4 linked regions of the Arabidopsis thaliana genome follow. The protein of the gene in region 3 interacts with the protein of the main gene of each other region in a pairwise test. Each region holds a gene or a part of one and is shown on either strand. Other genes may lie near its edges.

What was found.
Region 1: the proteins of AT4G29930 (region 3) and AT5G10710 interact in a two-hybrid assay, tested with the Arabidopsis thaliana proteins (one large-scale study listed by BioGRID).
Region 2: the proteins of AT4G29930 (region 3) and AT3G13350 interact in a two-hybrid assay, tested with the Arabidopsis thaliana proteins (one large-scale study listed by BioGRID).
Region 4: the proteins of AT4G29930 (region 3) and AT4G32960 interact in a two-hybrid assay, tested with the Arabidopsis thaliana proteins (one large-scale study listed by BioGRID).

Annotation. Positions count from the first base shown.
Region 1 is NC_003076.8:3,375,368-3,384,454, reverse strand, and holds AT5G10710 (centromere protein O), read right to left. Parts: upstream 5,500-9,087; 5' UTR 5,241-5,499; intron 4,871-5,240; 5' UTR 4,837-4,870; coding exon 4,825-4,836; intron 4,729-4,824; coding exon 4,680-4,728; intron 4,580-4,679; coding exon 4,531-4,579; intron 4,447-4,530; coding exon 4,376-4,446; intron 4,248-4,375; coding exon 4,189-4,247; intron 4,130-4,188; coding exon of another isoform or gene 4,113-4,129; intron 3,935-4,112; coding exon 3,836-3,934; intron 3,356-3,835; coding exon 3,298-3,355; intron 3,066-3,297; coding exon 2,929-3,065; intron 2,854-2,928; coding exon 2,797-2,853; intron 2,356-2,796; coding exon 2,258-2,355; coding exon of another isoform or gene 2,242-2,257; exon of another isoform or gene 2,129-2,241; coding exon 1,947-2,128; intron 1,875-1,946; coding exon 1,807-1,874; 3' UTR 1,589-1,806; downstream 1-1,588. Other genes in the region: AT5G10700 (Peptidyl-tRNA hydrolase II (PTH2) family protein), read left to right, coding at 5,588-5,962, 6,048-6,226, 6,354-6,402; AT5G10695 (methionyl-tRNA synthetase), read right to left, coding at 6,435-6,638; AT5G10690 (pentatricopeptide (PPR) repeat-containing protein / CBS domain-containing protein), read left to right, coding at 7,123-7,485, 7,597-7,729, 7,857-7,954, 8,034-8,195, 8,311-8,379, 8,501-8,636, 8,739-8,971.
Region 2 is NC_003074.8:4,332,235-4,339,941, reverse strand, and holds AT3G13350 (HMG (high mobility group) box protein with ARID/BRIGHT DNA-binding domain-containing protein), read left to right. Parts: upstream 1-1,925; 5' UTR 1,926-2,137; coding exon 2,138-2,322; intron 2,323-2,797; coding exon 2,798-2,876; intron 2,877-2,969; coding exon 2,970-3,132; intron 3,133-3,228; coding exon 3,229-3,276; intron 3,277-3,651; coding exon 3,652-4,028; intron 4,029-4,113; coding exon 4,114-4,221; 3' UTR 4,222-4,467; downstream 4,468-7,707. Other genes in the region: WIP3 (WPP domain interacting protein 3), read left to right, coding at 1-827, 959-1,470; AT3G13340 (Transducin/WD40 repeat-like superfamily protein), read right to left, coding at 5,339-5,752, 5,851-5,937, 6,124-6,229, 6,314-6,405, 6,495-6,605, 6,683-6,817, 6,978-7,064, 7,150-7,317 and 1 more. UniProt on the Arabidopsis thaliana protein: Binds preferentially DNA with A/T-rich content.
Region 3 is NC_003075.7:14,641,204-14,649,806, reverse strand, and holds AT4G29930 (basic helix-loop-helix (bHLH) DNA-binding superfamily protein), read right to left. Parts: upstream 5,814-8,603; 5' UTR 5,700-5,813; coding exon 5,620-5,699; intron 5,498-5,619; coding exon 5,332-5,497; intron 4,948-5,331; coding exon 4,690-4,947; coding exon of another isoform or gene 4,639-4,689; exon of another isoform or gene 4,590-4,638; coding exon 4,302-4,589; 3' UTR 2,448-4,301; downstream 1-2,447. Other genes in the region: PRHA (pathogenesis related homeodomain protein A), read left to right, coding at 1-156, 259-339, 492-572, 734-814, 972-1,052, 1,207-1,461.
Region 4 is NC_003075.7:15,906,846-15,913,405, forward strand, and holds AT4G32960 (BRISC/BRCA1-A complex protein), read right to left. Parts: upstream 3,448-6,560; 5' UTR 3,297-3,447; coding exon 3,030-3,296; intron 2,559-3,029; coding exon 2,400-2,558; intron 2,309-2,399; coding exon 1,940-2,308; 3' UTR 1,727-1,939; downstream 1-1,726. Other genes in the region: AT4G32970 (BRISC/BRCA1-A complex protein), read right to left, coding at 3,826-3,863, 3,955-4,513, 4,643-4,675, 4,852-5,043, 5,125-5,224, 5,350-5,396, 5,725-5,776, 5,942-6,015 and 2 more.

The sequences.
Region 1 (9,087 bases), on a different chromosome or scaffold from region 3:
CGTGTTTTTTTTTTTTTGTTGCTCTCGCGCCAAAAATTATGGACGGTGGTGAAGGAGATTAAGGATATTGTTATTTTTTTTTAGTTTTGGACGAAAAGACGAGAATGTGGAGATATTAATTGGATGGGGACACCAATCCTTAAATACCGGATTTGTTTAATTCTCGATTAAAGCAGGACCATACTTTTCAGCTTTCTTCCTAATTATTTACTTAGTACATTATTATATTATATTCATATACATAATACATGTGTGTGCAAAGTTGGGTTTGACATTATGACTACTTTAAGATTATTAGAGAAATTTACCATCTCACGAAAGTTTTACCTCCTTGGACTAACCCATCATGGATTACGTCGTGGTGGCATATGATTAAGTAAAAAAAAAACTTGCAAATTGGTTGTCGATTTATTGTAGTCAATAGTTGGGGGCATATATATTGTTGTTATGAATGACTCGGTGCCATATAGATTCATTTTGTTAATTCAATAATATTATATTGTTAGAATTTATAATAATTTCCGAGTGGAAATGTCATCCGTGAATCTCTTAAGAGTAACATACAAACTATATTTTAGTTTTCCAACAGAATAAATAACTTATTAAGATGGTTAGATGGATGATAAGATGACATGTTTAAGAGGTTCTATTAGTGTGTGGCTATACCATAATTTTCGGTATTTCAGTAGTTTCATAATAACACTTGGATTAGTATTACTTTAAAGTCGATTTTAGTATTATTTGATACTACTTTTTTGGGTTCCATTATTAAAAAGGGTTAAAATAAAATTCGATAATCTATCCCGTGTAGGGCCCTGGTCAGAGTTCTTTACATTTATATTTCTGACAAGGAACTTTTCAGTGTCTTAATCATATGTTCCAATAATAAATCACTCAGGAAGATAGATCTAAAGTAAATCTCCAATGTACTGTTTTCTGGTTTTATAAAAAAGGAAAAAGTGTACATTCTCTTATTATGATCCTAAGTCTGATAGTCCGGCCATAATCTAGAGAAGAATTGAGTTGATTTTTGTTTGTGTCACTTATTCGATGTAGATATATTGAGTATTACTACTAATTTTTTTTGAGAAAAAACTCATTGAAAAATACAAAAAGTAATTTGCCAAGTACAAACCCATTTGAATTCTTTCATACAGTAAAAATAATTGAAACAATGAACAAATTTTTCATTTATCAAGAACTTTCTATGTTAAGTTCCGATATGTTTAAGGAGCATAATCTCTTAAATTGTGATATGACAAGTGATGGGGGAAGGAACAGCAACAAAAATAAGTAGTGACTCTTAAAGTTTTTGCATGGATGGATTTGTGAAAAGATAATTCAAAGTGGGTAACACAACTCCGGGATTCCTTACCATCACCGTAATTTCATATTTAGTAACATACTTTTCGTTTTTAATTACTTCAACTAGGATCTTTAATATGAAAAATTGCTAAATGGTGGACCAAGAAAACAAATGTATATCTCTTCTCATTGTAGATAAGTTTAGTTGATTTACAGCCACTTTTGACTTTCAAGTGCGTAAATTCATGAAGGATATGATCGAACCACAGTATGCCATAGAGAACAAAACTTCATACATCTATCTGTTTCTGTTTCGAGCAGTTAGTAATGGGCTAATCGATGAAGCAGCACAATTTAACCGGAATAGAATAGCAGAACAAATCCATTCTGTAAAAGGTATTCTTCATAGCACTATTTTAACAGTTTGGAACAAGGATCAAAATCAAACATCATACAACGAAGCAACGAGACAAGTAGAAAGTTTGCACACAGCTTCAACTTTTAGCTTGGACTAGTCTGAAATAATTGCCGAATTTCATTCGGCATGTTCGGCATAATCTCTGCGTATGCTGCAATGAACAAAAGAATAAATAAACCGTAGAAACATAACTTAAACAGATCGTTATTTAAACTAGGAATACCTTCAGGTAGTGATTGGATCCGGAAAGCATCCTCGGCAAATGGTAAACGCACAGGGATTGCTGGACTTCCAGGGCTTGTACACTGTTTCTTCGACAGATGATGCATTGGCCATACTAGAATTCTCACTTTTGTCGGAAGTTCACACAGAAGATCTCCATATCTAAGGCTCACCACGAACTTGCTATAATCCAAAACATATCTGGTTTTTTAAAAGGTTATAAAAACAAAATTTTAAGTGGCAACATGGCCACATCAATATCTAGTGTAGCAGCAGTTAAGAGGAAGTATATGGATCTATGAAATTGCTAACCAGTCACAATCATCCATAGAAAATTCAATCATGTGGTAAGGAAGACTGTGATAAATCTCACTGATCTGATGTCCAAAGAGCTCTTTGATAAGCCGGACCTATAATGAAATTCAGGAGAAGCATCCTGGTTAACTTGTGAAATTTAAGAGGTTCCTAACACTTTAGACTTTTGGTGCATATTTCACCGACAGTGGTGAATAACAACACACCCGGTATAGTCACACCAGATTATTTGGCCCCGTTTTTCATTATAAAATAAATACATCTAAAAATCATTTCATATCCTAATCTGACAAGGTTGATGATACATTAGTGCTGAGATTCTCTTACTCCAAGTTAACTGGTCACATGATTTTAGTACCATTTTCATTGCTATCTAGAGAGCATATTGATGTATTTTTACTGAGAAACAAATTGAACAAGAAGCCAGCAGGTTAAAAACTTAAGAAGTCATGACCGAAAACAACAATTTAAAAGGCCAATATGACAAGCACAATCTAAGTTTGAACATCTACTCATGATCTAGATTTTTGACAAACCTGTTCCTTTCTGTCCACATATGCTTGCAGGAGATCCCCAACATTATCGATGAATTTCTGGCATCGAAAAATGTTAAAACCAAAAACATATAAGAGACAAGGAAGTAAGAGGATAAACTGAAGATCAGGTACCTTAGCATTCGAAAAAAGAAGATCATTTTCCAAGTCACTTAGCGGCAAAAAGAAAGGAATTGTGTGCTCAAGCACAATCATCTTCTCCAAAAACGACTTGCTCTCAAGCACACAGTGGTAAACCTCGTAAGTTTCTCCTATATAAAACGGATTTAATTATCATATACAGGGAGATGAAAAGGTTAGGAAAAGTCCCAATGTCTTCATATACATAGAAATATGGAGACAAAACAGCTAACTCTCTTTCACTGACACGCCAAAAGGTAAGAAACCTTTGAAGAAAAAATCATTATGATAACTGCTAATAATTTTTGGTAAAGAAAAAACACTTGGAAATTGTGACAAAATGCCAGTTATAGTTCAAAATACCTGCAGTAGATGTTTCAAACTGTATTCCAATTCTCGATCCATCTAGGCAACATATCACCTGTTTGATAAAACACCAAATATATAAGCAAAAACGACCTGGTATCGATTCAAAGTGAGAGGTCATTCTAAACTTAAGATTAGCCAGGTGTCAGTCAAAACTTTAAAATCAGGAAAGTTTGTAGCAACTACAAAATTTGGGGGAAGACACAACATTACAACAATCAACATTCTTCAACAAAGATATACAAGTATACAACCAAGATTGGTCTGATTGGATCTATCTTTTAGGCAAACATTGCATCCGGCCAAGATGAATGAACAAAACGATAGGTTTCCTTTGGACTATCCAGAAATTTCTACAGCCATATAGTATATCTTTTGTGACAGAAGTAGTCTTCCTTGCGGGTATCTTGAAAGAATCATGGTAAATTCTGTGCTATATAGACTTAGATAAGGCTTACACCAACAGACCTTGGGTACAAACAAAATCAATTTCTCTACAGAAGAAATTTGGAAGAATGTAAGACCTCAGGAGTACCTTATTTCCCACTCTGTAAGTAATTCGTTCTTCAGGATGACAAACTAGTGAAAAACCTGCATTACCGTTATCTGCCTTTCTGTCAGCTTCCATATGCACCTACACAGTTCATGGTCAAGTTCAGGAAAAATTCAATAAAGCCAACAGAAGAAAAGAAAAAGATGGCATAAAAGATTTCATAGCACAAAGAACATATAACTCTTTTTATCAGAACGACATAATCAAATCTAGATCTGCCCTTATTAAAGTGTCTACTAAGTCTTCTTCAACTAGATACCAAGGCTTGGAACACCTCTTTTAAGTACACAACAATGTTGACAATAAAAGGAAGCACACAATGATGGATGCCATACCCGTTCCCTTAATGTGGCCAACAAACCATCATTCCACTCTTCCCCATCTAAGAAGACTTCTGCAGAGGATAGGAGCAAATACAGCATTTGATTAAAATAGATACACGGATGAGCAAATACTTATGAAGCAAAAAAAAAGTCAGTTAGATAATTCGTCCAATTCTGCAATTCAGCTATCCATACCCACCCTGACTTTGGGATCTCCGTGCAGCTTCAAATTCTTTGTTTAAGCGATCTAACATTGTCTTATCAGAATCCCTAAAATGAATGATCACCAAATACAAACTTAGCAAACATAAAGATCGAGAAGTGAACTATATAGTTCAAAAGCATATTTCCTACCTAGTAAGACGGTCTGACAATTCTCGATGCCTCTTGAGAAGGTTTGACACTAGGAAAGGAGCATAAAGATTGACTAATTATTACCAGAAAGCTTTAAACCAAAAAAAGAAAGAAAAGGATCTGAAGCACAAGAAAAGCTGTTTACTCACATCTTGCTCGTGTTGTATCCAGTCGGATATCTTGGTCCATTGAAACAATCTATTTGCAACGAAAGCAAATGTTGTGGAATCTGCCTTTTTCAAGGTAACAATTGGAAAAAGAAAATAAAAAACCTGGAAAGGGTGTGTAATTTACCATTTCTCCCATATTTTGCTTATCAAGAGGTCTTTTGACCAAGCTCCTACCAAAAAGCAGAGAAGTTGATAATCAATCTCTACACCAAAATTTTCAATGTTCATACATCACATCTAAATCAGCTAGTATTTCCAAGTAATTCTATAATTCAAACAAATTGCAACACTGAAAAAACGAGTGAGAAGCAAAACCCTAAAGCGACCAAATCAACAAGAGTTATACTCAGCGAAATCACGATTTCTGCTCAGTATTAACACACTGGAACGATACAAAACAGAAACAAGCCTGATTTAGAAACCCTATCATGCCTATCAGCAGAGCTTGTTTTCAGAGGATTACAGCTAAAATTTCGTGCAGCAGCCTCAAACATATAACAAAGAAAATTAACTCTATCAGAAGAAGAAAAGAATGATTACTCAACGACACCGGAGAGTAGAGAAGATAACAGATCAGACAGGCGACGAGAGACGGTTTAAGCAGCGCCGGATAGTGTACGGACGTCGGAATGCTTGATTTCGTTCGGAAAGATCATAAAATCTCAACCGCGAAAGGAGAAAAGAGTAATCAGGAAAATAAGAATCAATTTATTTGGTTTGGATTTCGAGCGAATGAAATAGTTTGGTTATGCCGTTTAAGTGATAAACCAGAGCGAATTTAGATTTGATTTTAATTGAGGAGACATCAGAAAATAACTGGGTCTACTAAAAGCCCATTAAGAAAAATCTTATCCAATAGCAAAAGTCCATGTGCGTCTTCCTTTCATATGGCGACCGCCGTCCTCTCCGCAGCGTTTCGATTCCCGATAGTTACCCGCCGACTCTCTGCTCCGGCGCCGCGAATTAGGTTTTATCATTCTACGATCCGATTTGCTCATTTCCGAAGATTCACAACGGCTTCTCCTTCAATGAGCCAGCAGACTGGCGAAATCGATGCCGTCGTCGATGCTTCGTCGGCGGAGAAACCCGACGACGTCGTGGTGCAATACGTTGTGCTTCGACGAGATCTAATCGATTCGTGGCCACTTGGGAGCGTTGTAACACAAGGATGTCATGCGTCAGTGGCAGCGATCTGGTCGTTCAAAGACGATCCGGTCACGCTTCAGTACTGTGATCCGCAGCACATTGATTCTATGCATAAGGTTAGTCAACATGACCCTAATTTTAGAGTTCTCTGGCCGGAATCAATGGTGGATTAATTAAAACACTTTATTTTTTGGGGATTAGGTGACTCTGGAAGTTAAAGGGGAAACGCAGATGATGAATTTGTCAGAGAAGCTGAAATTAGGAGGAATCTCTCATAAGCTATGGATGGAGCAGCCGGAGAATATTCCGACGTGTATTGCTACAAAGCCTTATCCTAAATCCCAAGTCTCTTCTTTCTTCAAAAAGCTCAAGCTTTGCAAGTGATCATTCTTGTTCTCCAAAATCCCAATTTCTTAAAATTCTCATTTTCATAATCATGATTCATACATATACAGAGAAATCATAAAAGAGAAGACATGTTCTTTTCTTTTTCTTACAAACGTTTAGAAACACGATACACAAAGCAAGTCAGAGATTTGGATATATGTACATATAGAAATGATCTCGTATGAGGTGGGAGTTTTGTTTTCAGCCATGGACGATGAGTCGTTTGCCGCAAGTGGAACAGAGATGACGACGTTTGGATTTATTAGAGAGAGGAACGAAGCAGAATCTCCACTGGCTATTTACGTCAACCACTTGAACCGCTCCTCCGCAGTACGGACACGCTCCAGGAGCTGCGTACCTTCCGATCACCCTCTCGTCCTGATCACACACGAACACCAAACACATCCTTCTTCTTCTTCTCTTCTAGACAATGAAAACAAATGGAACCGTTCTTAGTTTTTTGTTTCCGCGTTAAAAAGGGTTGTAGTTTTGATGATATTTATAAGGATGAGATTGAGACTCCATGGAATTTAGGATATTTCATATTTTGTTTCCGCGTCAAAAAAGTTGCAGTGTCGAAAATTAGTTCTGGAGAGATATAGCTTAATCTAGAAGCAATTTTGGATTAGGGGAACGAAAAGTCAAAACTCACGTCAACGTTGAATATAAGTATATTGGGCTTTAATGTTCAAAGCTCAAGGCCCAAATTTGTTAAATCTCCACACTGTGTAACATTTGTTCGACCCGCCAAGGTGAAGAATAACTTGACTGATTGTTGTTGCTGTGATTTCAGATTCTCTCCAACGTTATCTATTTCGATTAGCTCAAGCCTCAAGGTGAAGCTTGAAGCCCATCAATGGCGGATGGGTAGCTTCTGGTCTCCTTGAAGATGAATCGGATTTCAGCTATTTCTACTCTTGTCACTCCTCTCCCTCTTCTTCCGTCGTGCTCCTTTGTTCCGACACGACGGTGTTATCCTCGCAGAGCTACTCCTTATTCCAGGCGAATCAATCTCAAGCCTCTCACTTCTCGCATTGTTCTCCTCACGCGCCGTCGTCAGCTTGGTCAGATCGTGGAGGAGGTAGAAGCCGCTAAGAAACGGTATGGGAGGCTCAACACAATTGTGATGAACTCAGTTCTCGAAGCTTGCGTTCACTGTGGAAATATTGATTTGGCTCTTCGGATGTTCCATGAGATGGCGGAACCTGGTGGAATTGGAGTCGACTCTATTAGTTACGCTACTATCTTGAAGGTGATTTTGGTTCTTTCCTCTAATTTTGAATTTTGGTTCTTTCCTCTAATTTTGAATTTTGATTTCGTGTGTCAACCTGAATTTGATGTCGAATCGTTTGTATTGGTTAAGGGATTGGGTAAGGCTCGGAGGATTGATGAAGCGTTCCAAATGCTGGAGACTATAGAGTATGGAACTGCTGCTGGGACTCCCAAATTGTCATCATCTCTTATCTATGGTCTGCTTGACGCTCTTATCAATGCTGGTAAGATTCTTAAGCTGTAACTGTTTCTCGTGCTCAACAGGCTGCAGCTAATCTTGATTATGTAATCTTGGTGTTAGTGAAATGGCCTGAAGCTGATGCAAAAACACTTGATATTGATCTAGTGCAGGAGATTTACGTCGTGCCAATGGTCTGCTTGCACGATATGATATTTTGCTTCTAGATCATGGTACTCCGTCAGTTCTTATCTATAACTTGCTGATGAAGGTAATTCTTTACACATAGTTGCATTTGATTTAGGGTCAGAGAAGCATCATCATGGTATATGTCTTGTTATATATTTCAGGGCTATGTCAACTCAGAATCTCCGCAAGCTGCAATAAATTTGCTGGATGAAATGTTACGCCTTAGATTGGAGCCAGATAGGTTGACCTACAATACTTTGATCCATGCCTGCATTAAGTGTGGCGACTTGGATGCGGCTATGAAGTTTTTCAATGATATGAAGGTCACACATGTATATTTTAAAGGCCAGTTTTATACTCCAAGTGTTACTCAGAGTAGTACTGGGGTAGAGCTTGGCTCATATTAATTATAATGTCTTGGTTTTGAATATAATTCAGGAGAAAGCAGAGGAATATTACGACGATTTTCTTCAGCCAGATGTTGTAACCTACACCACTTTGGTGAAGGTGAGCCAGCAATATCTCATTACATATCTGATCATTATGTAGGAAGATGGCCTAGTACTCTTTTTAGTTTCTGCTTTAAACGTTATCAATTTCTGCCTCTTATGATAATTCTACTTCTTAGGGGTTTGGGGATGCAACGGATCTGTTATCACTGCAGGAAATTTTTTTGGAAATGAAATTGTGTGAGAACGTGTTCATTGACCGAACTGCATTTACAGCAGTAGTTGATGCCATGCTGAAGTGTGGTTCAACAAGCGGTATGATACTATGAATTTATTTCTGATTATTGCTGCTTTCAGCATCCGGACATAGATGCTCTTGAAGTAACTTCTTAGGGTCTTTATTGAATATGTTCACAGGGGCCCTTTGTGTATTTGGTGAGATATTGAAGAGAAGTGGAGCTAATGAAGTCTTGCGACCAAAGCCTCACTTGTACCTGTCTATGATGCGTGCGTTTGCTGTCCAAGGGGATTATGGAATGGTTAGAAATCTGTATCTTCGCTTATGGCCGGATTCTTCAGGATCAATCTCCAAGGCGGTTCAACAAGAAGCTGATAATCTCCTGATGGAAGCAGCTCTCAATGATGGCCAGGTACTAACGAATTAGATAAACTCTCTGGATTTGGGCCTTCTATTTGTTTTATCCTTTATGTGGTGTCTATCATTTTCTGGTGATACTAGTCTGGTAATGATTATGGGTCCTCTTAA
Region 2 (7,707 bases), on a different chromosome or scaffold from region 3:
TTCAGTCCCTGCAAATGGATTATTAGTATTGCCTGATAATGATCATGAGGAAGGAGGTGTTGGATCACCTCAACGATCGAACAGCGTTGAATCTCCTGGTGGATCAGTACATTCTACGAGGAAAGGTTTTGGTTTGAAGAAATGGAGACGGATCAAAAGAGATGGTCCTGTGAGAGATGAGGCTGCTCCTGTTGATGATGGTAGTAAGTTACTGAAACGTGGATTGGCTGGTTTGGTGAATCCTCCTTCTAAACATGTAGAATTTTCTTCAGTTGAAGCAAGGCAGAGTAGTGAAGGCTCTGTTGGGTCAGTGAATATGGTGCATCATCCAGGGGTAGCCAACGGGTTTAGTCCCGATATAGGTTGTATGTTTGCTGTTGGGCAAGCGTTTGAGAAAAGTGAAGAGCATAGTGGTAATACCATAGGTGGAAAGAATGTAGTAGGAGGGAAGGTTGTTTCAGGTAGCCAAGAGAAACTCTGGAGTGATACCATCAAGAGGGCTAGCGAAGAGCGGGGGGATATCGAGAAGGAGAAGCCTTGTTCCAGCTTGGATTCCGACTTGAGAAGTAGTGATTTTGTGTTTTCGACTGGCTCGGTTTCTGTTGGTAACCATGGAGAGAAAGATGAGAGATTGACGATGAATTATATTGGGGGATTTAGCAATGAAGGTCAAGTTAAGGAGGAAGTTCAAACATATAGCAGAAGCGAAAACGGGAATAAAGAAGACGATGGAGAGAGTAAGAAAAACAACAATCATTGGGCAGATAAAGACGCACTTGCAGATTCTATCAGAAGCTTTGCAGTTCTGCAGGAAGTTCTTTGGAAAGGTTTGCACACGAACCTTGATTTTTGATATCCATGTGAATTGTTTCAATGTTCATGTCCTAAAGCTCCCATGTTTATATTATCAATGTTACATGATATTTCTAAACTAACTATGCGATTGAAACGTGTGCAGAGGTTCAAAGTTTCCAGGAGCTAGGTAAGGAATCTGTACTACTACATTCGAACACCGATGAATTGAGTTCAGACCAGCCAAGTCATCAAAATTGTAAAGAAGATAACTCAACATCCTCAGGATCAAAGGCACTGATCTTGAAGGAGAAGGTAAAACTTCTGGAACACAAACTCGAGGAAGCGAGAGCTGCTCTCGAGGCAAAGGAAGCTAGGATCCAAGAACTCGAAAACTCAAAGATTGAATCTGAACTTGAATGCATCTTCCAGAGAAAGATTGAAACTGAAATCGAACATTTGATGCTCACAAGATCTCTGAGTTCACTACAAGTACTCCAAGAAACTAAGAAGTTACATTCTCTGAAAGAAGATCCTGTATCAAACCGTGGAAACATCTTAGGAAAAACATGTAAGCTCGGTTTCTATATCTTGACACAATTGATCTTGCTCGTCTCTATACTTCGGTTTCTCGTCCTACAATTCTCTCCTGCTTCACGATTAGTAATACCAACTTGAAAAATTCCTTCTCCTTGTTGTGTTACCGAACATTTTTTTTGTTTCTCCAGATTGTAATAAATAAGGTCTCTCAAGGATATTGTCCCCATTGTTATAGTTAAATTACGATGTTTAAATTTCCCATCAACAACTAAAGAGACATTATTATTTTGTGAACTAGATTTTTGATATCGAATCCGATCACCGGTTATAATGGTTTGCCGACGGTTTTTGTGATTTGACTCAAGAGTGTAATAAAACCTTAACTTAAATCTTGGTTTTTGATTCAATCTAGATTCGGTTAATCAACCGGTCCGGTCTGGTTTTTAAAACAATAGGCCATTGTTGTAGGGAGTAGTTTAATCGGGGCAGAGGCTTATGCTATGGGCTTGGACTCTCAGGTTTCGTCTTAAACCTAATCAAAGTAATTTAAGCCGAAAACGGAAGGAACTAAAATTGGTGTCTTGACTAAAAATAATATAAAGGACATAAAATTAAAGTCCCCAGATAAAAGTTTGTATGATTTAGGGCAAAATCTCAGAAGATAAAATCATTCAAATTTGTGTGAATTTCGTTTAATCCTTATCCAATTTGTCCCAATTTATAATCTTATAAGAAAAATAAAAATCTGAAATACGGTGGTCTCAATTGCTCTTACCTTTACCAAGACGGCCATAAGAAAAAAAAGATGTCGACCGATATTTCACCACCCTACTCTCAAACTCACGTGGAGCCCGTTAATGGTTATCCTTCTGACAACAAGAGATGCGACGATTCCTCTGTTCCTGCCAAATATGATGATCTTGTCCGTAACTCTGCTCTCTTCTGGGAAAAGCTCCGAGCTTTCCTCGGATTAACCAGCAAGACTTTGAAGTCAGTTTCTTTCTTACCCTTTTCACATTTTTGTGAGACCTTTTCGTTTGGTTTAAGATTGTGGAAGAAAAAACCCAACTTTGTTTGTTTGTATCTCTCCCGAAGATTGGTTAGGGATTTAAGGCTTGAGGTGTTGTTATATTGTTTGGTGAGATTGAAAGCAATAGAATTAGATTTTGTTGCTCAGTGAAATGTTGAAAATTGTCAATTAGGGTTTAGTGGATTCCGGATTGGTGAAGTTTAAGCAGGAAGTGCGTTATGTCATGTGTATCGTCTGTTGAATTAGATTTATCGTATTCTTTACCTGTTTATATTGTTCATAAGGAAATGAAATCAAACTGGATTTAGTATTTACTAATCTGGATACTGTAATTATATCTATGAACGAGTTTAGGCTTAATGTGTGTTGTTTTGTCTCTTGTGTTTATTAATTGATCACTGTCTGGTAATGAAACATTTTCCGTCTCTGTAAAAGGGTTCCTACTGTGGGAGGAAACACTCTTGATCTGCATCGGCTTTTCATCGAGGTTACGTCTCGAGGTGGTATCGAAAGGGTATGAATGAGTTCATGTTACCGTTAATCATACTTTTGGGAGATTAATATTGTTCCATTGAGTATTGAAGTGTGTATGTTTTTTTTACTCTAGGTGGTGAAGGATCGGAAATGGAAAGAAGTGATTGGTGCATTCAGTTTTCCGACAACGATAACAAGTGCATCGTTTGTCTTGAGGAAGTATTATCTCAAGTTTCTTTTTCAGCTGGAACATGTGTATTACCTTGAAAAACCGGTGTCTTCACTCCAATCAACAGGTCTATTTCAGCACTAAAATTCTTATCGTTGTCTTACCTTTTCTTTCGTTGCTCTGTTACATACTGAGATAAGCCAAAATTCTCATGCTTTTCCAGATGAAGCATTGAAGAGCCTTGCCAATGAATCTCCAAACCCTGAGGAAGGTATAAGACACGTTTCTCTAACTCTTGTGGCTTTTTTATTCTTCCCTCCATATCTTTGTCCATTCATCAGTATGTAGTATGTTGTATTTAGTATTCCGTTGGATAGAAGTTTATTATTACAGATTCTCTTTAAAGAAGTAATGTCTGGTAGGCCTTTAATTCCCCAATCTGGTTCATTAGTTTTCTCACGTGACAAAGATTCCTGAGTTTAACGTGTTACAAATATTGGCTCTGTTTCACTCCTTTTAGACTGGAACAAATAAATATACACTTATCTTTCCTTTGATTCCATTCCTTATATGTTTTGAGTTTACCGCGTGTGTGTCTAGTAAAATTTTGACCGTGTGTCTTTGTGCTTCATTGTGGAACCTGCAGGTATTGATGAACCACAAGTTGGGTATGAGGTTCAAGGATTCATTGATGGGAAGTTTGATAGCGGCTATCTGGTGACGATGAAATTGGGTTCTCAAGAGCTGAAAGGTGTCCTTTACCACATTCCTCAAACGCCAAGTCAGTCTCAACAAACCATGGAAACACCTTCAGCCATTGTACAATCATCACAACGCCGGCATAGGAAGAAATCAAAGTTGGCTGTAGTCGATACTCAAAAACCCAAATGCCACAGGAGTGGCTACAACTTCTTTTTTGCTGAGCAGTACGCGAGGCTTAAACCTGAGTACCATGGACAAGAACGATCCATCACTAAGAAAATAGGACACATGTGGAGCAATCTCACTGAATCTGAGAAACAGGTAACCAATCATCATCGAATTATATCCACTTTTTTTTTTTTTTCATTAAACCAGTGTTTGCTTACAAATTTGTTCATCATTACAGGTTTATCAAGACAAAGGAGTTAAGGATGTGGAGAGATACAGAATTGAGATGTTGGAATATAAGTCTTCACATGAATCAGGAGCTACTGCTTCTACAGTGGCTCAGTAGCTTTTCTCCCTTTTGTTGTCTTACGTGTCTGTTGTAACATTTTTCCTTTTCTCTATAGAACTTGTTTTCTTTTTCTTTCTAAATGTAATGTTTTCTATCAGTTGGAGGATTTGTCAGCTTTATTATGGCTTTAGAGCTAGTGAGGAGGTTACTAACTGTGAACTAGTGTCTCTCTTGTTGTTTCTTTTAGTAAGTGCCATTTTTGTAGTGAATTACAGGCATATCCATATATCCAGATCTTTCTTCAAAAACATGGCGCATATGTTTCTTTTCGTTATGTTACTTGATGATATGTGATGTATCTTTATTAAGTCCCCGTCTGTAGTATCTTTATTAAGCTCAAAGTTCGGCGGTGGAGGCGTGGAGCAAGGTTTTGCGGTCATGCAATGGTTCTCTCAGATGGACGGAAGCTAAGCTGTCACGAGATGAGATCTTGACAAACCAATAAGTAGTCTGATAGGACCTAAGGCCGGTATTGACGTCGATTTCCTGCTCTGTTTCATACCACAATAAATATTTCATGTTATAAATATGAACATTGAGTTATGTTAATAATGGACGTAATTTCCAAAAGTAGTATACGACACATCACCATTGTTGTTTAGTGATTAGAGAAATCATCTGTTATTAGGGTTTGTAATCGAATTATAACGAACAAAGGACTATTATTAATTTATTTTAATTTAGTTAAGTATCTCCAAATTCTAAACTCAGAACAGGATCTAAACACTCGAGTTCCTACAACAACCACAAGTACAAGGAACAAAAAGAAAAGATCACAAGCCACCAAACACAACAACAATGATCCTCCCGACTTTGAATCCAGAACCCGCTGCGGAGCCACCCTCAAGTCCTAATCCAGTCTGTGCCACCACTGAACCAGCCCTTTCTGTACACATCTTGAACCTTTTGAGACCAGACATAACCAGACATAAGGAAAATAACACACCAGCCGGAGAAGGAAACAAAAGACACTAACTAACTAGCATTTGCACAACACATCATTTACATCTTTGAGATATCCATATATCTATGCTTTGCTTCTGTCATGTTCACTGGTTGCTGAATGAGCTCTCTTTTCTTCATTGGACAGGGTTGTGTATACTTCTCTTCTAGCTTAAAGATACGAGTCAAGGTAGGAATAGTTCCTGCGCCGACCAAACTCAAGGAGGCTACCATAAGTGCGGTCCCATACCCCAATAAATAGCGCCTCTGTGTCAGGGCTGAAAGATATTCCAGAGATTTCCCCAAAGAAGTCGATTTCCTGCTCTGTTTCATACCCGTTTGAGACATCATAGACATGGACAAAGTCAGCCGGTTCAGCCATGGCCATGTATTTTCCATCTGATGTGTAGCGGATTGACCGGATTGCTCCCAGGTTACCCTTCAAGACAGTAACAGACTGAGATAGGTTACGGATGTCCCATACACGACAAGTCTTATCTTGGTTTCCTGTAGAGAAAGTGACTCCATCCGGATGCCACGCAGAGGCAAAGGAAAAGTCCAAGTGTCCTGATAGTGTTTCCAACGTCTGCAGAAATTCCAAAGATGTGGAACTATAAAGCACACACGTGGTGACAAACCATTTGAGTATCTCACACACTTATGTCCAGGACCGCAAATATGTACCTTTCCTGTGTTGGGGTCTACAATAAGGCCCTCCGGGTTGTCTCCAACAATAGCCAGTAATTTACCATCAGGACTCAAAGATGCGTGCTGTACCAACAAATTGAAAACAGAGAATACCATTTTTGTTAAATGATTCAAAACACATGTACCTTTATCACTTGGATTAGGTACACTGAAGAAGAAATGGGGTTATAAAAGCCTAACTGTAACTCATGCTATTTTCCGCAAGTGTAAGAGATCAAAAGCAAACCAAGAAACAAATAAGGACTTTACATTCACTGGCCAAGGAAAACGGAAATGCTTAACAAGCTGGTATCTCTCCATGTCAAAGTCTCTAACTCCACAGTCATTATTTGACGCAGTAAAATGAAGTGCACCACTGTAAACAGAAGCCAAAACTAAGTTACAAGCAGTGACTCTAACAACTTAATGTGGACCTTTCGGGCAAAGGACTAGCACAAACCTGGGTTTGTTGTAGATCTCAATAGCATTGGTTATAGCATTATCATCATAAGTCATACGAGAGCAAAAGCTGACACCCGGTCTATCAAGATGCTGAACCAAAGTGGAAACAGATGAATCTCATAGAACAGAATTGCAAGTCGATAATGTGATTAATCCGTGATAGATAAATCTAGAGTTACCTTGCAAATAAGTTCTCCTTGAAACCCGCCAGCAACCAGAAAGTCATCTTTTACTGCAAGTGTACTTACTTGAGTCTGCGTAAATCCTTCAAGTAAACTTCCAGGATGTTTCTAAATGCAGCAAAAGCAGTTCAGCACCACATAGAGTTACAGTAATGTAGAACTTCTACATTCTGACAAAAACCAACCTCAGATGGCGCAACATGACCACGGACATTGAGAACTTCATGCTTTCCAGACGTTAGAGAAGAATAATGTGTAACCAGAAAATTTGACATAAGATACACGTCGTGCTTAGAAGTTGCCCATACCAAATTTCTCAGCTATGACACCAATAAAAATTCTTGATCAGATGGAGGTTTTTAGCAGTAGACAAATGTTATGTCCACAATCACGCCAAACACAATAAATAAATCCAATCAGAAAGAGAAAGACTATCAACTAGTCCAAGTTAGTGAGCTCTCAATATTAAAAAAAAAAAACCTGGAAATGTAGTATAGTAGACTTAATAGATCGTGAATTCCGCCAGAAGTCATAAAATAGTCCTCCTTTCTGTGTGACCTTGCAAACCTGAATCCATACAAAATGATGTATTAGGTGACTGAGCTAACCTGAACACTAATACAAATAGAGGATCAGAGGATATAACCCTTACCTTTTCTGATGATTCTCCAGAATTAGGGACATTTTCATAATTCTTATACTGTTCTAATCTAGTTTGTCTGTATTTCTCTCTAGAAATATTAAGTCTGTCCCACGGAATCCCCTGGATATCTTTCCCTTTCCGAGCTTGCTCAGCCGTGGTATCAGCTACTTTATTGTTCTGAAACCATATAACACGAAATTAAAACATAGTTTAAAAAAAAAAAAAGCTGTAAAATGAGATTAGAAAGTAGCATAGCCAACAAAACATGTTCCATCTCATCATACTAACCGAATAGTCAAATTCTTCAACGTCAGAATCTGAAGCACCAAGATCATCACCACGAAACTCCTCATCCATATCATCTTCAACATCTTCCATCTCATCATCTACGTCTTCCATGTACTCAGCATCATCTCCTCGATAATTAGACATTCTTTTGGTAGATAAATAAAGACACCTGCATATACAAACACACAAACCATATTATTAAAGCTTTTAAATCAAGAAATTCTACATCCCTACTCAAAAATGGGGGCATAAACTGCACATAAATAGTAATCAGTGAAC
Region 3 (8,603 bases):
ACTGTTCCACCCGGATTTGACGCTACAAATCAAAACATACTCTCCCCATGTAATAACAACCAGGAGGAATTTCAACAGGAAAATGTCTCTTTTCCTTCACCCACAGATGAAAGTCAACAGTATCTGGAACAAAACGATTCTTCTTTCGTTCTAGTGGTAAGATAGAAATGATTAAGTACTGCTTCCATGAACTCGCCTTGACCAGTGGTTTTGGACAATTTTAGATTTTTAAAAGTGATTTGTTCTTATTGTGTTCAGCCACATGAAAAGCAAAGCAGCGAAATTAGCTTAAAGACGGCTGTAGAGGAGAATGAGACAGAAAGCAAGATGATGAAAGAGGTAAAATATAAATTAGCTGTTTCGCCAAAATGAGTTTCTAGAACATATCCATTAATAAAAAACCATGATTAAGTACTGCTTCCATGAACTTGGCTGACCAGTTGTTTTAAACAATTTTAGATTTTCAAAGTTACTTTTCTTTTTGTGTTCAGCCACATGAAGAGCTAAGCAGTGAAATGAGCCTAAAGACGGCTGCTGAGGAGAAGGAGACAGAGAGCAAGATGATAGAAGAGGTAAGATACAAATGAGCCGTTTCGCCAAATGAGTTCATTGAACATATCTATTACTAAAAACCATGATTAAGTACTGCTTCCATGAACTTGCCTTGAGCTCTTGACCAGTGGTTTTAAACAGTTTTAAATTTTTTAAATAATTTTTTTCTTATTGTGTTCAGCCACATGAAGAGCTAAGCAGAGAAATGAGCTTAAAGACGGCTGTAGAGGAGAAGGAGACAGAGAGCAAGATGATGGAAGAGGTAAGATATGAATTAGCCGATTTGCCAAAATAAGTTGATAGAACATATATATCTGATATTTAACAACCATGGTTAAGTACTGCTTCCATGAACTTGCCTTGACCAGTGATTCTAAACAATTTCAGATTTTAAAAGTTATTTTTCTTATTATGTTCAGCCACATGATGAGCTAAACAGCGAAATGAGCTTAAGTACAGCGGTAGAGGAGAAGGAGACAGGGAGCAAGATGACGGAAGAGGTAAAATGAAATTAGCTGGTTCGCCAAAATGAGTTTATTGAACATATCTATATTAAAGAAACCATGATCAAGTATCGCTTCCATGAATTTGGTTTGACAAGTGGTTTTAGACAATTGTAGATTTTTAAAGTTTATTTGTTCTTATTGTGTTCAGTCACATGAAGAGCTAAGCAACGAAATGAGCTTAGAAGAGAAGGAGACGGGGAGAAAGATGACGGAAGAGGAAGAATTGGAAGCAGTAATGGAGATGCTTTGTAGAACAGAAAACAAGTTACTGGACGTGACGCAGAGGCTTGATAGATTTAAAACACCAAAAGGCCGAAAAAAGTTAGGCAATTCTTCTTCTCCTTTACTTGAAGAAGACTCAGTAGTGTATGTTCCAATAGCAGAGATCAAGGAGAAAAGGTAACAATATATATATATATATCAAGAAAAGAAAAAAGTCCTTTGCAGAAGTTTTGGTATTGTTAGATTCTTTTGGAACGTAGTCTAAGAGAGTACCTAATGTAGTTTTGTGTATTATTCAGTTTGTATGTGTCATTTAAACTTCAGATAAAATCCCCCAGAAAAAAATAAAACTGGGATTTTTTTTTTAATGGAACTTTTTAGCTCTCTTTTTTGAATTATGTACATTTCGTTTTTTATTCTCTTTTTTTTTTTAATTCCCTTTTTCCAAATAACTTTGGCTTTTAATTTTAGTTTAAAAAATAATAAAGCTGAAAGATTTAGGTTCTTACAGATAGAGTAAGATTGGCAACTATATTTTTAGTTTCAACCAAGTAATAATCATAGAAAGATGATGGTTATAGAGAAAGCTTTTAGACCGAGTGTATATAGCGGTAAGAATAAATTGTTTACAAATCTGCAATTATCTGAACATAACTCCTTAACAAAGCCTACTGTCACTTTTATGAGTTTACTAAACATTTGTTGCCTAACTTTACAGATCAAATTGAAACAAATGGCAAGTCTCTCTATTTTGCAACTTACAATATGCATTTGATTCATGTTCATCAATTCAAAGACAAAGTATCCACAAAATCTTTTATAAAGTCATATTTGCTTTTTTAGTTTAACCATATTTCTTTATGTTTTTTTCTTCTTATACTCGGTTATGATTGCAATTAATTCAAATGATTTTTTTAGAAGTATAATTTTTAAGATTATAAGAAGGAACATGCATATTTTTGTTTTATTTTATTAGAAAACATCGGATGTTTTGTAGCTCAAACAAATAAACCCTCACAATAGTAGCTCTTCACATATATTGCATAAAACGGATTTAAGTAAAAAACCAGAAGTAAATTAGAAGTTGATAAGACAATTTGGATCATTATAAGCTGCGATGGCCATCTGTATCTTGGCCTCTACTGCACTGCTTTCTTCTTCATCCGCCTGCAAATTCAACGATTTACTATAATTAATACATCTATCACAATATAAACTAAAACAGTCCTATATTATTTCAATCATACGATATCTTTACAGAATTTTGAAGTAAATTAGGATTCTAGGAAGTCCAACGTCAGTATAGATTATTAAAATTAGGGGTGTTTAGGTTTTACACGAATCAGACAAAAAAAACTTCTTTTTTTTTGGCAGCACGTAAAAAGAAAATTAGAACTGATAAATTTGTGTATATACACCTGCACGCATTACTACTATAATTATTTCCCGTGGAAAATGAGATTGGTGGATAAATCATTGTTTAATGTTTTTGTATAATCTTTAAAAGGACGGATAAGGACAGGTTTGAAATGAAATGATCGACTTTTTATTTGATAAATGATTGGAGTATGATTTCACCAACTCTCAATGACTCCACTGGTCTATACCTCACTGTAATTTTAGCGTCTGATTATATTATCTTTTATCAAGAAAATGTTATAAAGGTGCATAATTCTTTTTTGTCAAAGAAAACCAACATAATATTATATTCATTTGTGAGGCAAGAAATACTCGTATTTGTTGTCATCAAAAATTTCCAACCTACAGCTTATAATATAATTACCTTTTTCAAAAAAAATAGAACGTTAGTTCACGAAACTAGCATTTTTGTAATTAGATTGTTTACACCAAAGTCCTAGTATATGATGATGATAAACAAATCAAATAGATAGAGATAATGAAATGAATTTGTATTTTTTAGAGTAAAAACACAAAATAATAACTCTTAACAAATCTGCTTATATTAAAAAGGACCAAACCTTAATTTCTACCATGAACTGCTATGGATATCATTTGGAGTAACTAATTTTTACCAAAATGATTAGCATAATGAAGACCTTATGAACCATATACAACTAGTTAACACAAATAACTTGCTAATTGGCTACAGTTGATTTGTAGCCTATTGTTAATTTGAGTTAAGAATTGATATAAGGTGTAGTGCTAGAAAAGTCACGTGCTAAAAGTGTGAAAGAGACAAACGTTGAACCGCGTGAGGTTATAAATTAGCCACGTTTTTCTAGTGCTACTATGCTTGGACGGCACTTTCTGGGACACGAGGCACTTGAGATTTCACACACTAATTTTTTGATTAAGTTAATCCTAATTTTTTATGGAATATGACATTTAACTTTTGAGAGAATCTAACCCTATCAGAAAAAGTCAAGGCGAAATTCGAAAAAAATGTGATGGGCTCGAGGCAACCTCAATAATTGGAGCTTTAATTGATTGATTAAGATATTACTGACTATATATACTTAAGGTGTAATGTGAATTAAGGTCCACTTAATGGAGACAGGTGGGAGAAAAGTAGTAATTAAATGGGTCCGTCTAAAGGTTATCCTTTTGAATTTGATAGTGATTTTCCAAACAATTCGTAAGTTTGAATTACATTTTTGTACTATTACGTAAAGATAACATATTTTCTTTACCAAAACAAAAGAACAATCCACTTTACTAAAGCACTTAGTCATATGCTTTTTATTCATATTATTAATTCTTGTCCACTAAAGGATTTGTCTACGTGCCGTCAGACGACCATTTTTCTCCCAAAATAACCAAAAAGAAAAGAAAATAGTAAGATTTGAATTTGGTATATAAAAGTCTGAATAGTTGCGACAAATTAAAAATGGACAAATATATTTGGTTGGTGTGTTTTATAGTCCGACAAGTGCATAAAACTAATTTTATAGCTGATTACAATTGATCTAACATTCTTTATTAGCAAGAATCTTCTAAACTATATTATCATCTCTTTCCATTAACATTTTATAATTTCGCTCCATGAGTGCAAAATGAGCGTCAAACCAAAACAAGACACGTACAGTATTCTCTAGATGCATTTAGAATTTTGTAGTTTGTACTAGTAATCACATTGCCAAATAAAGATATGAGAGAGGGAGAGAGGGAGAGAGTGACCTGGAGGAAGAGGGTGGTGGAGAGACGAGAGGTGAAGGAAGAGAAGTTAGTAGTGAGAATGTTGAGATTCAAAGACTCCAACACTTTACAAAGCTGCACCATTGTCTCTCTTTTCTTGCTACATGTTATGCATACCACTACCGTCTTCTCTCCCATCCATGTCACTTTCATCTGTTTTTTCATGTTTATATAAAAACAATTTGGAATAATTAACTTTACCTCAAAAGAAAGGTAATTTAGAATGTACTGCCAAATAATGCATAGTACGTACTTCGAGAACTTCAATGGGGTAGTGTTGTACTCTAGTACTGTAATCCATCTGCTTAAACTTTTTTGATCTCATGTCATTATTGTCTGAGAAATCTTGCAGATGAGTTTCCGCAAAATTGCAATCGTAATCTCTTACCGGATTTTCTAGCAATGTTGACCGTGATTCTAGCTCTCTGATCTCTGCTTCTAGAGTCTTCTCTTGATCAATAAGTTCTTGCATATAGTCGATAGAATCTTTGATGACAGATGCCTTGTCCAACTAAAAATAGATAAATATTAATACTTCAATAAAATCCAGTCTTAATCAACAAATCATCACACGTATACAATTATATGCTATCAGGGTAATTAGGGGACCAAAATACATTTTAGTATGGCTTGATATGGATTTAGAGTATCAAAAATTTGGTTTGCTTATTTGTTTAATGTTGGTTGGATTTGGTTTAACCAGATTGTATTTGTATAGTTTTATTTCTTTACAAAAGAAAGAAGAGAAAGTTTATTCGCTTATTTAATTTCTGTTGACCAAAACAAAAATTGCTGGTGACGAAACTTTATTACTAAATTATTTGGATAACAAATTAAATTTAAAAGAGACAGTTGATTAAACAAATAAGAGAAGTAATGGAATAATTAATCATACCTTGCTTATATTGGGAACAACTGACCGGAGAGCAAAAAGTCTCTGATTAAGCTTTTGCCGTCTGTTTCTCTCGGAGACAACGTTCTTCGAAGAAGCCGGCGACGTTGCCGCTCCGTCTGGCGAACTCGACTCGCCGGAACCCGAAAACGCTTCCTCCATCGGCCAACTTAAATTTTATAATTTATAACAATTTTCATTAATTACCAACTAAAGCAAGATTAATCTTTATCGGAAAAAAAAACTAAAGAAACAAAAAAAAAAAAAATGGACCAAGATTCTAGTAAGCACCTGTCAAATTCGAGTTCTTGATTCTGGAAGAACATTGTGGTTTCCCAGTAATTCTTGTACTCATGGTCGAGATCTTCCATTTTTCGGACACACAAAGATGATGCTTTCTTGAAATGGAAGGTTTTGTTATTTCTGTTTGTCCTTTCTTTCTTTCTTTGTGTCTTTCTATTGAGTGTACTATCAAAACAAGAGTGGGCCGAGGATTTTATACATAAAGAGTCTGACAGAGAGTTTTTAAGCACGTGGGATCTTAATCTCCTGAAATAATTATATACGATCTTGACCGTTCAATTCAGAGATCAAAATCTGTTTCCTTTTGTCCAATTGAAAAACAAAGAAAAGAGTGTATCGTATCTATCTCTTTCACTCACAATATGCATTATTCATATACTCAAATGGGTATAGACCGTATAGTACTTGAATTTAGGGCGTGTTCAATTCCAATTTCATTTTATTTTTGTGAGGTACTAGAAGAGTATCTGAGTATAAATGCAAAATTCTGTTCTTGTAGATATTAATCATTTGTTTTTCTTCTAATTTCGATCCTTAAAGTTAGAAGATGATGTCTAAGTAAGGAAAGAAGATACGTACTAGGTTTTTTTTAAACAAAAATAAAAGATACGTAGTTTCAGAATTCAAAGATTTAAACATAGGTAGACATCGTGGCTATGTGTATGCGTACGTAATGATTATGGCCAATAATGGTGATGATTAGTTGATTGTCAACTTTTTTTGCTAAATTTTATTGAAAATATAACCCACTTGGGTCCAGGATATTCTTTCATGTCCCTTGATTTGAATGCAGTAAATCTATGTTTTCTTCTATTATTTGTGGATATATATTTTCTTCTGATTTTTGAGTGTCTATATATTTATAAAATTCCATCTTCTTTAGATACTGTTATGAAATAAGTTGAGATATATGATTTTAACAAAGTAAGCTATAACCACGGACTTATCTAGCAATATTAAACACAAAATGTGACTGAAAAGCGAAATAATGTGGGGGTGATCCAAAATCTAAAGTATATAAAAATCAAATATCATAGACAGAAAATATTCATAGAATTAGATAATATAGCATATGCAATTTTATTCTACTGAATTGTAACTAAAGAAATATTGATTATTTAATGGTGTCAACTGAATTAAAAGTTGTGAAACGATTCGTAAAACTCTATTTATGATGGTGGAAATATTTTTTTCAATGGTTATGTATCATACATTTGAGTTCTCAGTTCTTTCAAGAATTTGTAAAACGTGGAAAGACATCAAGAAAACTGAAGACGGTCACTAAATCATACAACATACACATACTAAACAATACAACTAGTTCCACATTAATCCATTATACTCAAACTAAATCTAGTATCTATCTTATGAACTAAAAAAAAATCTAGTGTCTATCAATATGGAAAGGTTTTTACTTATATCGGCTTTGCTCCATACCCCGTGATTTTATTCAGAACTTTTAATCTGGATTAGAAATCCGAAAATACTGAGTTTGAGAAACAAATCGAAAAAAGTAAAAACTGTTTTCTCAAATCATTCGTCTCTCACTTACTAAACTCTTGAGAAAATGTGTAGGAAAAAGTTGTATTTTAATTGTATGAAATGAACAGTGTTTCGTTCCTTATGATATTGTTTTCACATTACTAAAGTCGTGGCTTGGATGGCCCAACATGATCTTGGTGATCAAAGATGATTATAATAAAATTATTTGCTAAATAAAATTATTTAACGTACTTATGTATGCTACCACGTGTATGGAGGATAGTGTATGATATGACTTGATATGGTTTTGGTTAAGAATTCATTAAAAGTCTTAATATTTAATTTATTTTGTATGCATAATCGTATTTCCTTTTGTTTATTAGGCTAATTAAAAGCTGTTCTATCTATAATCTTTGGAAGATTCATAAATTTTGATGACTCACCCACCTTGCAATTGCAAATGTATGGAATTGATTATATTGGGTCCAAATGACAACTAAACATTCCCAATATTGTCGGAGTCTAATTCTTTCGTTTCTTATTAAATATGAGGAAGTGTTTCTAGAAGAGTAAGAAGAAAATCGCAGTTCAATTTTGAAATCTACTTTTGTAGTAGAAAGCTGTATAAACAACATCCGTTCACGTTAGCTAGAATACGAAAAAATGTAACGAGTATTGAAACTCCGGTTCAATCTTACGTTACGATATCGGTTAACCAACTTCGACGACTTAAACCCATTCATCAAACAAAATGAACAAAATATGCCGATATGAGAGAAAGTAATTCGACTAAAATTCATTATTTATTTCAAAACATGCAAGAAACTTATTGGGCTGAAAAAACACATGTTGGGCTGAAGGCACGGATTGAACAGAGATATATTTTGAGTTCGGCCCAGACAAAGATGCTTAATGGTTTAGCCCGTTTGAATGTTCCAAAATTTAGTCTTGACTCTTCTTAAGTGTGTGAAGAAAAATGGTGTAAATTGTAATTTCAGTCATTTATGTAAAGTTTTGAAAATTTTCCATGTGGCCTTTTAAGTTTACAAATACAAAATAAATTTATTTAAAACTGGAAGCACGTTTAGATGAATATATAAATCAACAATAAACGAAAACGCAACATATACAAAAAAAAATAAAATAAAAAACAGCAAAGTAATTTACAACGTCCAAACAAAAATTACCAAAGAAAGTTTCCATAATTAATTACATAGAAGCTTTTTATTTTTGTTTCTTGTTCTATCTATCATAATATAACATGTAAATAATGAAGAAACTCCATCATAATATAGCGTCGTATCCTAACAAGAATTGAATAGCTACTGAAGAAATTCCATCATAACATAATATGTAAGTATTTTCTATGGCCAATCAAGTCTAGTCATAGGCTATAATTTTGGAGTAAAGTAACTATGATATTTTCTTTTTTTTTTGTCAAAGAACTATGATATTTATTTTCTTTCTAGTCGACAGTTAGGAATATAAAG
Region 4 (6,560 bases), 1.3 Mb from region 3:
TTGAAAGTTTGAGTACCTTAAACCAAAAAATAAAAAAAAACTTCTTTTATTTTTGATTTCGTGTAGTGGTTTTATCGTTAATAGAGTTTATTTTTGATCAATCTAATAACGTTTGATTCGGTTTTTAATCTGACAATAGACTATGTTGGGACACCAAGGTACATACATAGCACAAAACCATAGTTAATTTCCTCCAATAACCTTTTTTTTTCTATGTTAACTAACACTTACATAAAATTTACAGAAAATACTCCTCTTGCATTAATATAGTTTTACCAAAAATGTTTATGTAACACTTATTCTTATGTTGCAAAATGCTATGTAACAGTTATTGTTATGTTGCATATTAATGCAAGAGGAGTATACTTTTACAATTATTAAATAAATATTATTTTTTCTAAATTTTTGTAAACGAAAAGAAAAGAGTAATAATAAACAAATGTGACGTAAGTACTTTGTAATTACTAATTACTAATTAAGCCAGCTTTTCCTGACCTTTTGGACATATCAAACGATACAACAGGGTCAACTCTCACATCACATCCTTTTTATCAATAGTTTTCTGTACTTCTTTTAAAATATTGATGATCTAGTTGGTCTTTTATTCAGAAGTACAGAACTATATTATACATTTATTGTACTATACGTTATTTTGAAAAGACATATTTTAGTTTTAGTTTTCTTAGATTAGGTGTGAATTAATTTACCTACTCTTTATTATGTAGTTTTGGAATTTTTTAGTTAAGACTACTAATCATTGGTAAGATTCTAAGATTAATCAATATCGGCTCCAAAAATTAAACTAGTTGACTAAAAATTTTATGTACGTAAAATGTCAATACACATAGCAATTCGACATTAATTTTAAAATTAGTTTTATTCTTATAGACTACCCCGCTACTAAATTAGAAAGGCACATGATGTGTCATCTTGTAGGATTCCAATCTATGGATTCATAATTTAATAATTTAGTCAAACGTTATTAAATTCGTTTTTCATATTCTTCTATCAAAGTTAGGCCGTAATAATAATAAAAAGAAAAAGAGAAAAGAGAGAAGTTAGGCCGTACGAATGGGATCTAATATATATATAGAGAACGGATGCCGTACATGTTGCTGGCATCGTCATCTCCTAAACCCAAATGCATGGCAACATTTTGTTATTTTTATTTTGTTTTGAGATATATTTTAGGTTTTCCTAAAGTCGTGGTGACATCGTCCATTAGCTATTACCTATCCGAGAGGCATAATTTACGAACTAGACTGTTGCTTTAGCTATAAGGATAAACTTAAGGGAAAGCGAAACTAAATTACATGCATATATTTTCATGAAATCGTGAAGATTTTTCTTTTGGATAAGCCAATGGATTTTTGATGAATTTCTTCCCAAAGAAACATTGAAGATCATGCAATCACGATCTCGCCAATATGAATATCTACCCAATATATTAAAACATTGAATATCAACTTGATCGATGTATTGACTTTGCAACATTCAAAGCAATTTGTAATATTTCTTAGCTTCTCGTTCTCAAAGCCACACATTTCCATAAACTAAGATATCCATGTACACAATGACGTACTTTAATTTGTGCATTATCTATGTATTCATTCATATGAAAAGTTTGCTGATATGGTTATCGGGATAAAAGATAAGACTAGTTACATAATTCAATTTATTTAGCTCATATTAGACATTTAATTCATCATTAATAGCTGAAACAATATTGCAAATACCTTTTATTAGAGAGCCCTTGAGGACTTGATGAGGTATTTTCTCTTAAAATAAGAAAATCATTTATATTCATCTGGACATTTGAGTTTCTTACTTGATGGATCTAGAACAAGTTGTCACTACAGGTTTTGAGTATTTTTTTCACATGCGAAACTCACAACCATGTCATGACCAAAAGATACAAGAAAAAAAAAAAAGTGTTTCATTAGTTTATGATCTGAATATTGTTCCCATTGTGAGGATCTACAGCACTTGCCGCCTCAGTCACAGGCACTTTCTTTGCAAGAGACATGGGGATGTCAAGATCATCTTGAGCACATCTTTGTTGAGGATGAGTTAACAGCATTGACATTGGCTTGAAAACAGACCGTGCAAGCCCTTGACCGCTCTCAAATATGTAACCTTCATACTCTGAAACATGTTCTACTGCATCGACAAGAGAGTCATACACATCTTGTGGACAATTATCAGGACTTGGCTTGTCGTGCAGGTACATAACATCCAACGTGAAGAGCTTCTGGTTTAAGGGCCACTCATGGGTTGGTCTCATAGATGACCTACAGTATATGAGAATCTGCAGGGCGACATGAACAAAATCAGTAAAACATCGTTTATTTTTCAGGCTGTGGCTAGAGGAGATTGTAGTTTCACAAAATAAACCTTACCACCCTGAAAATTCGGTTCTGTGCTCTGGAAACTTTGGCTTCCTGAGCTGCTGCTCGGAAGAGAAGTGTGAGATCCGCTCGACTAGAGGATTTATTACCTGACAATCCTCTAAGGGAAGCAACAGCAGATTCAGCATCACTTGTGAACTCCTTTTTAAGCTGAAACATAAAAAGGCCTCAAGTTCAATTTTCAAATGAAACAATCAGCACAGATAATAGTGTAGAGAGGATCTAAACAAAAGTTTCATGAACCAAATTTGACATTATTTCCCACACAACATTCACCAGTGAAGCTTATGTTAAAGCATCAAATGTGATTCTCACAACACATCTAGAAGCTACAAACAGTAACAAGAACACCATTCTCAGGTGAAAAAACCATCAAGTTTCAATCAGGTAAAGAATGTTCAACAAATCATGCATCCATGAAAAACCAGGTTTAAGATTGAGGATTAGGTTCAGAATATGTTCAAAGCAAATTCAAATCTCCAAGATGCATACTGTATAGCTTATCATGAATTTCAAAATTTTCAACTAAAAATGCAAAATTGAGGAGCATAGTCAAAAATCAAAAGAAAGCCCCCAAATTGAATCACATAAAGAGAATCGGAGAGAAAAGTAATAGTATACCCAAGCGGCTGATTTGGCGAGCGTAGCGAAAGCAAAGCGATGATCAGGATTAATGGACAGCTTATTGTGAATGAAGAGAATAATGGCTTGCTTGACGCACTCCATCCTGATCAAAGGCCTACCATTAGTTCCAGTGGTCTTCATCTCCACCATCGATTCTGCATCTACATCGATACAGATGAGTATGTCCTCGCTTTTTATACGCCCCGGTTTAAGCGCGTATCGAGTCGTTCCTACTCCGGTCACGGCCACTCTCTCTTCCTCCATTCGCCGCCGATGTAGTGAATTCTCTCTTCTACTTTCTACAATTCTACTGGTTCGTCCGATATAAATAAAACGATGCGTTTTGGTGAAACTAAAACACGACGTCGTCGTTTAATGTTTTCTTTTTTTTTCTTTGTACAGAGAAAAAGTTTCAGCGTTTTGATTCTTTTGACTTTTTTGACGAATGGGAATGAGCAAAAATCGTTTCATTGAGTAGTTCCACTAGGACACAAGAGAGATTCTTTTACTTCTGTTATTGAGGCTATGCAGTTTCTTGGTGCTTTCTTTTGATTGAATCGATCAGTATTAGCAATTGCGGTAACTTCGAACTTTGTTAAATCATCAAAAAAGTGGTGCCTATAAGAACCACTATTGGTTTTTGACTTGACATTAAGAAAATCAACTGTCTTTAGACTTGAGCGAGTGATAACGCTATACAAAAAAATGACTTCTCTCTGGTTGTCAACTACGTTACTCAATCGTCCAACTAGTTTCAGGATACCAGTTGAGTTTGCAATCCACTTGATGATCTTCAGTTGAGGATTTTGTTGATTCCCGATATCTTCTCCCCTGTTTGTTCCAAACATCACATTATCAGAGAGACCTATAACCAAAAAGAAAAATAGACTCTTAAGTGTTCATCAGCATTCATATCACATACCTAACACATCGATTTCCAGGAGTGAAGCTTCTAGCATATCTTCCTTTTCCTCGATCTCAGATCGGAACTGTCGTACAATGCTTAAAGTGTCTGCAATGCTCTGTTCCTTTCTTTCCAGCTCACAGCGAAACTGTCTTACACTGGCTACAGTGTCTAAAATGCTCTGTTTGACCTTAGCCAGCTGTTGTGTGACAGAGCAAGGTTCAGGGAGGTTCTTAGGCTGCAAGTCTCCGGGCTCAGCACTCGATTTGTGGGACCGGCAAGAGGGTTCTCCTTCTGCAGCTTCCTTCTCCATCTCGCCATCAGCTTTATGAACGCTGGAGCTTTCGACTCGAGCTCGCTTGTATGTCTTAGTCTTAGTTTCTGCAAGATCCTCTTCTTCAGCCACTGGTTGTTGAACCATCTCAAGGATTTTGTGTCCATTCTCATTCATAGAAGAAATAGCTGATTTGACAGATGAATCATGAGGACAAACACTTAGTGACTGCTCCAGGTTCAGTCCCCTCTCAGGTACACAAGTTAGCTCAGGGGTAGAAACTTCTGCTGCTCTCTGTTGTTCCTGCTGATTGGAAAATAAGATTGCAATTAACTATCTACTTCCAACATAAGCGAGGATGACATTCATCTTCTTTTTACAAATGAAAGATTTCAGTGTTTCAATGCTGGTTTCAGGAAGAAAGAAGCATGCCTTTACTGCCGCTTCTCTTGGGCCTTGACGGTCCTGCAGAATACACAAATTTTTAGAACCGTAAGAGAACAAATGAAACTAGACGACTTGCATAACCATTGGTACTCAAAAACCACCTTCATCTGTATGAGACACATGATGCAAGTATATTATCTACAAACAATAAAGGTAGTTTGATACAGTGCACTAGTATATGTGAGAGAGCTTACTTCTTTTTCATTAGCAACAACATCTTCCTGCTTTAAAGCATCAAATGCCCTTCCACATATTGAATCCACTACATCACTGGGATTAGCTAAGGAGACGCTCGACAATTTCCCTGCTTCTGTCAGATACTTTTTAATCTGGCTAGCACAGTTACTGAGAACTTGTTCTGCCTGCCTCCTTGATATTTGGGGAACCTGAGGAAAATAAATGGAAAGAATTTAACAAAAGAGATTGGTTGCTGAAAACAAAATGGTAAGAACCTCTCTATATATGACCTCATCATCCTTTTTAACATTAGGTGGAAATGGTGAAAGCATCTTTGATTGCTTATTAGTTGACTGTTCCTTGCGTGTCTTAGCTTTCTTCTTCTGGGGCCTGCATGAAGAAACAGTAGCTATTCCAGTCTCATCCCAAGACATCGAGTTGATCTCATAAACAAAAATTCACATCGAGCTATTCCAGCACCACAAAAACACCAGAACTGGAGAAGTAATGCTTACATTGTGGAGGCTTCTTCATCACATCCCGTTTGATTAGCTTCTTTATCCTGCTAACAGAAAATGTGGAAGCATGAAACAAAATCCGGGGGATGAAACAAAACAAAAAACCAGAGATGAGAGATATAATTCCCCACCTTTGATGACTTTGATTCATTCAGAAAAATACCACTTTTCCTTTCTCATATTCAAGATTTCTTCATCTCCATCAATATAGCGAACCTGAAAACGACATAGCAGCAGCAGCATAAACAAATATAGCATATTATCAATGACCTGGATCAAATTAAAAATATGTATCACTTAGGAGAATAGACTAATGATTCACCAAAAACCAACGAAAATAGTTATGTAGAAGACTGATATATTTAGCTTTACCCGATGTCTCTCTTTAGCAGAACAATATGAAATGACCACAGCTTCATAATACCTGTGGTAAAAATCCAATACTCATTTACAGGCATGGTCGACAGAAATGCAACCAGCAACCATCCGAGGTGCTAGTCCAGATTCAGCTATTAAAGGAAAATACATAGCACAGAAAGAATAAATAAATTGAAGTAGTATATTAAAGCACAAACTACAAAATGCTTACGCGCGATCCAACGGCCACCAGATTTTAACCCTCGACCCAACTATCTTTTCATCATACTTTTTGAAATCAGATGTCTGTCAAGGAATTGATTCAGCATGAGTATACAAATTTTTCTTTTTATTTTACATTGTTCTTAGCAAATGAAACTAGTATATACAAAAGATAAAACAATGGATGTTCAAGAAAATAATATCTCCAACATGAAGAGAATAAGAAGCTGAAACCATGAATAGTTATTACTACAATTCGCAATTGGTAAGGTTCTTCCCAGAGTCTTTGATATGAGCAACAGTTATTAAACGTGAAAAGAACAAAAACATACTTTCTCTTTGCCTAGGCTGTGTATTCTCTTTGTGTTTGTCTTAGGTTTTTTTTCTAACGGTTGCTTCGCTCCTTTCGTTGAATCTGAGGCTGATTTATCACAGGAAACAGCTGGCTGAAACAAAATCAAAGAATGTCTGCATCAGCAAAAGAAGAGAAAAGTCATATAAGCATTTCTTAACCGCAGTCACCTTCTTTGCAGGAGGCTTGGGGAGATCAACTTGAGCACATCTTTGAGGAGGATGTGATAACAACGTTGACATACGCCTGAAAACAGACTGTGAAAGCCCATGACTGC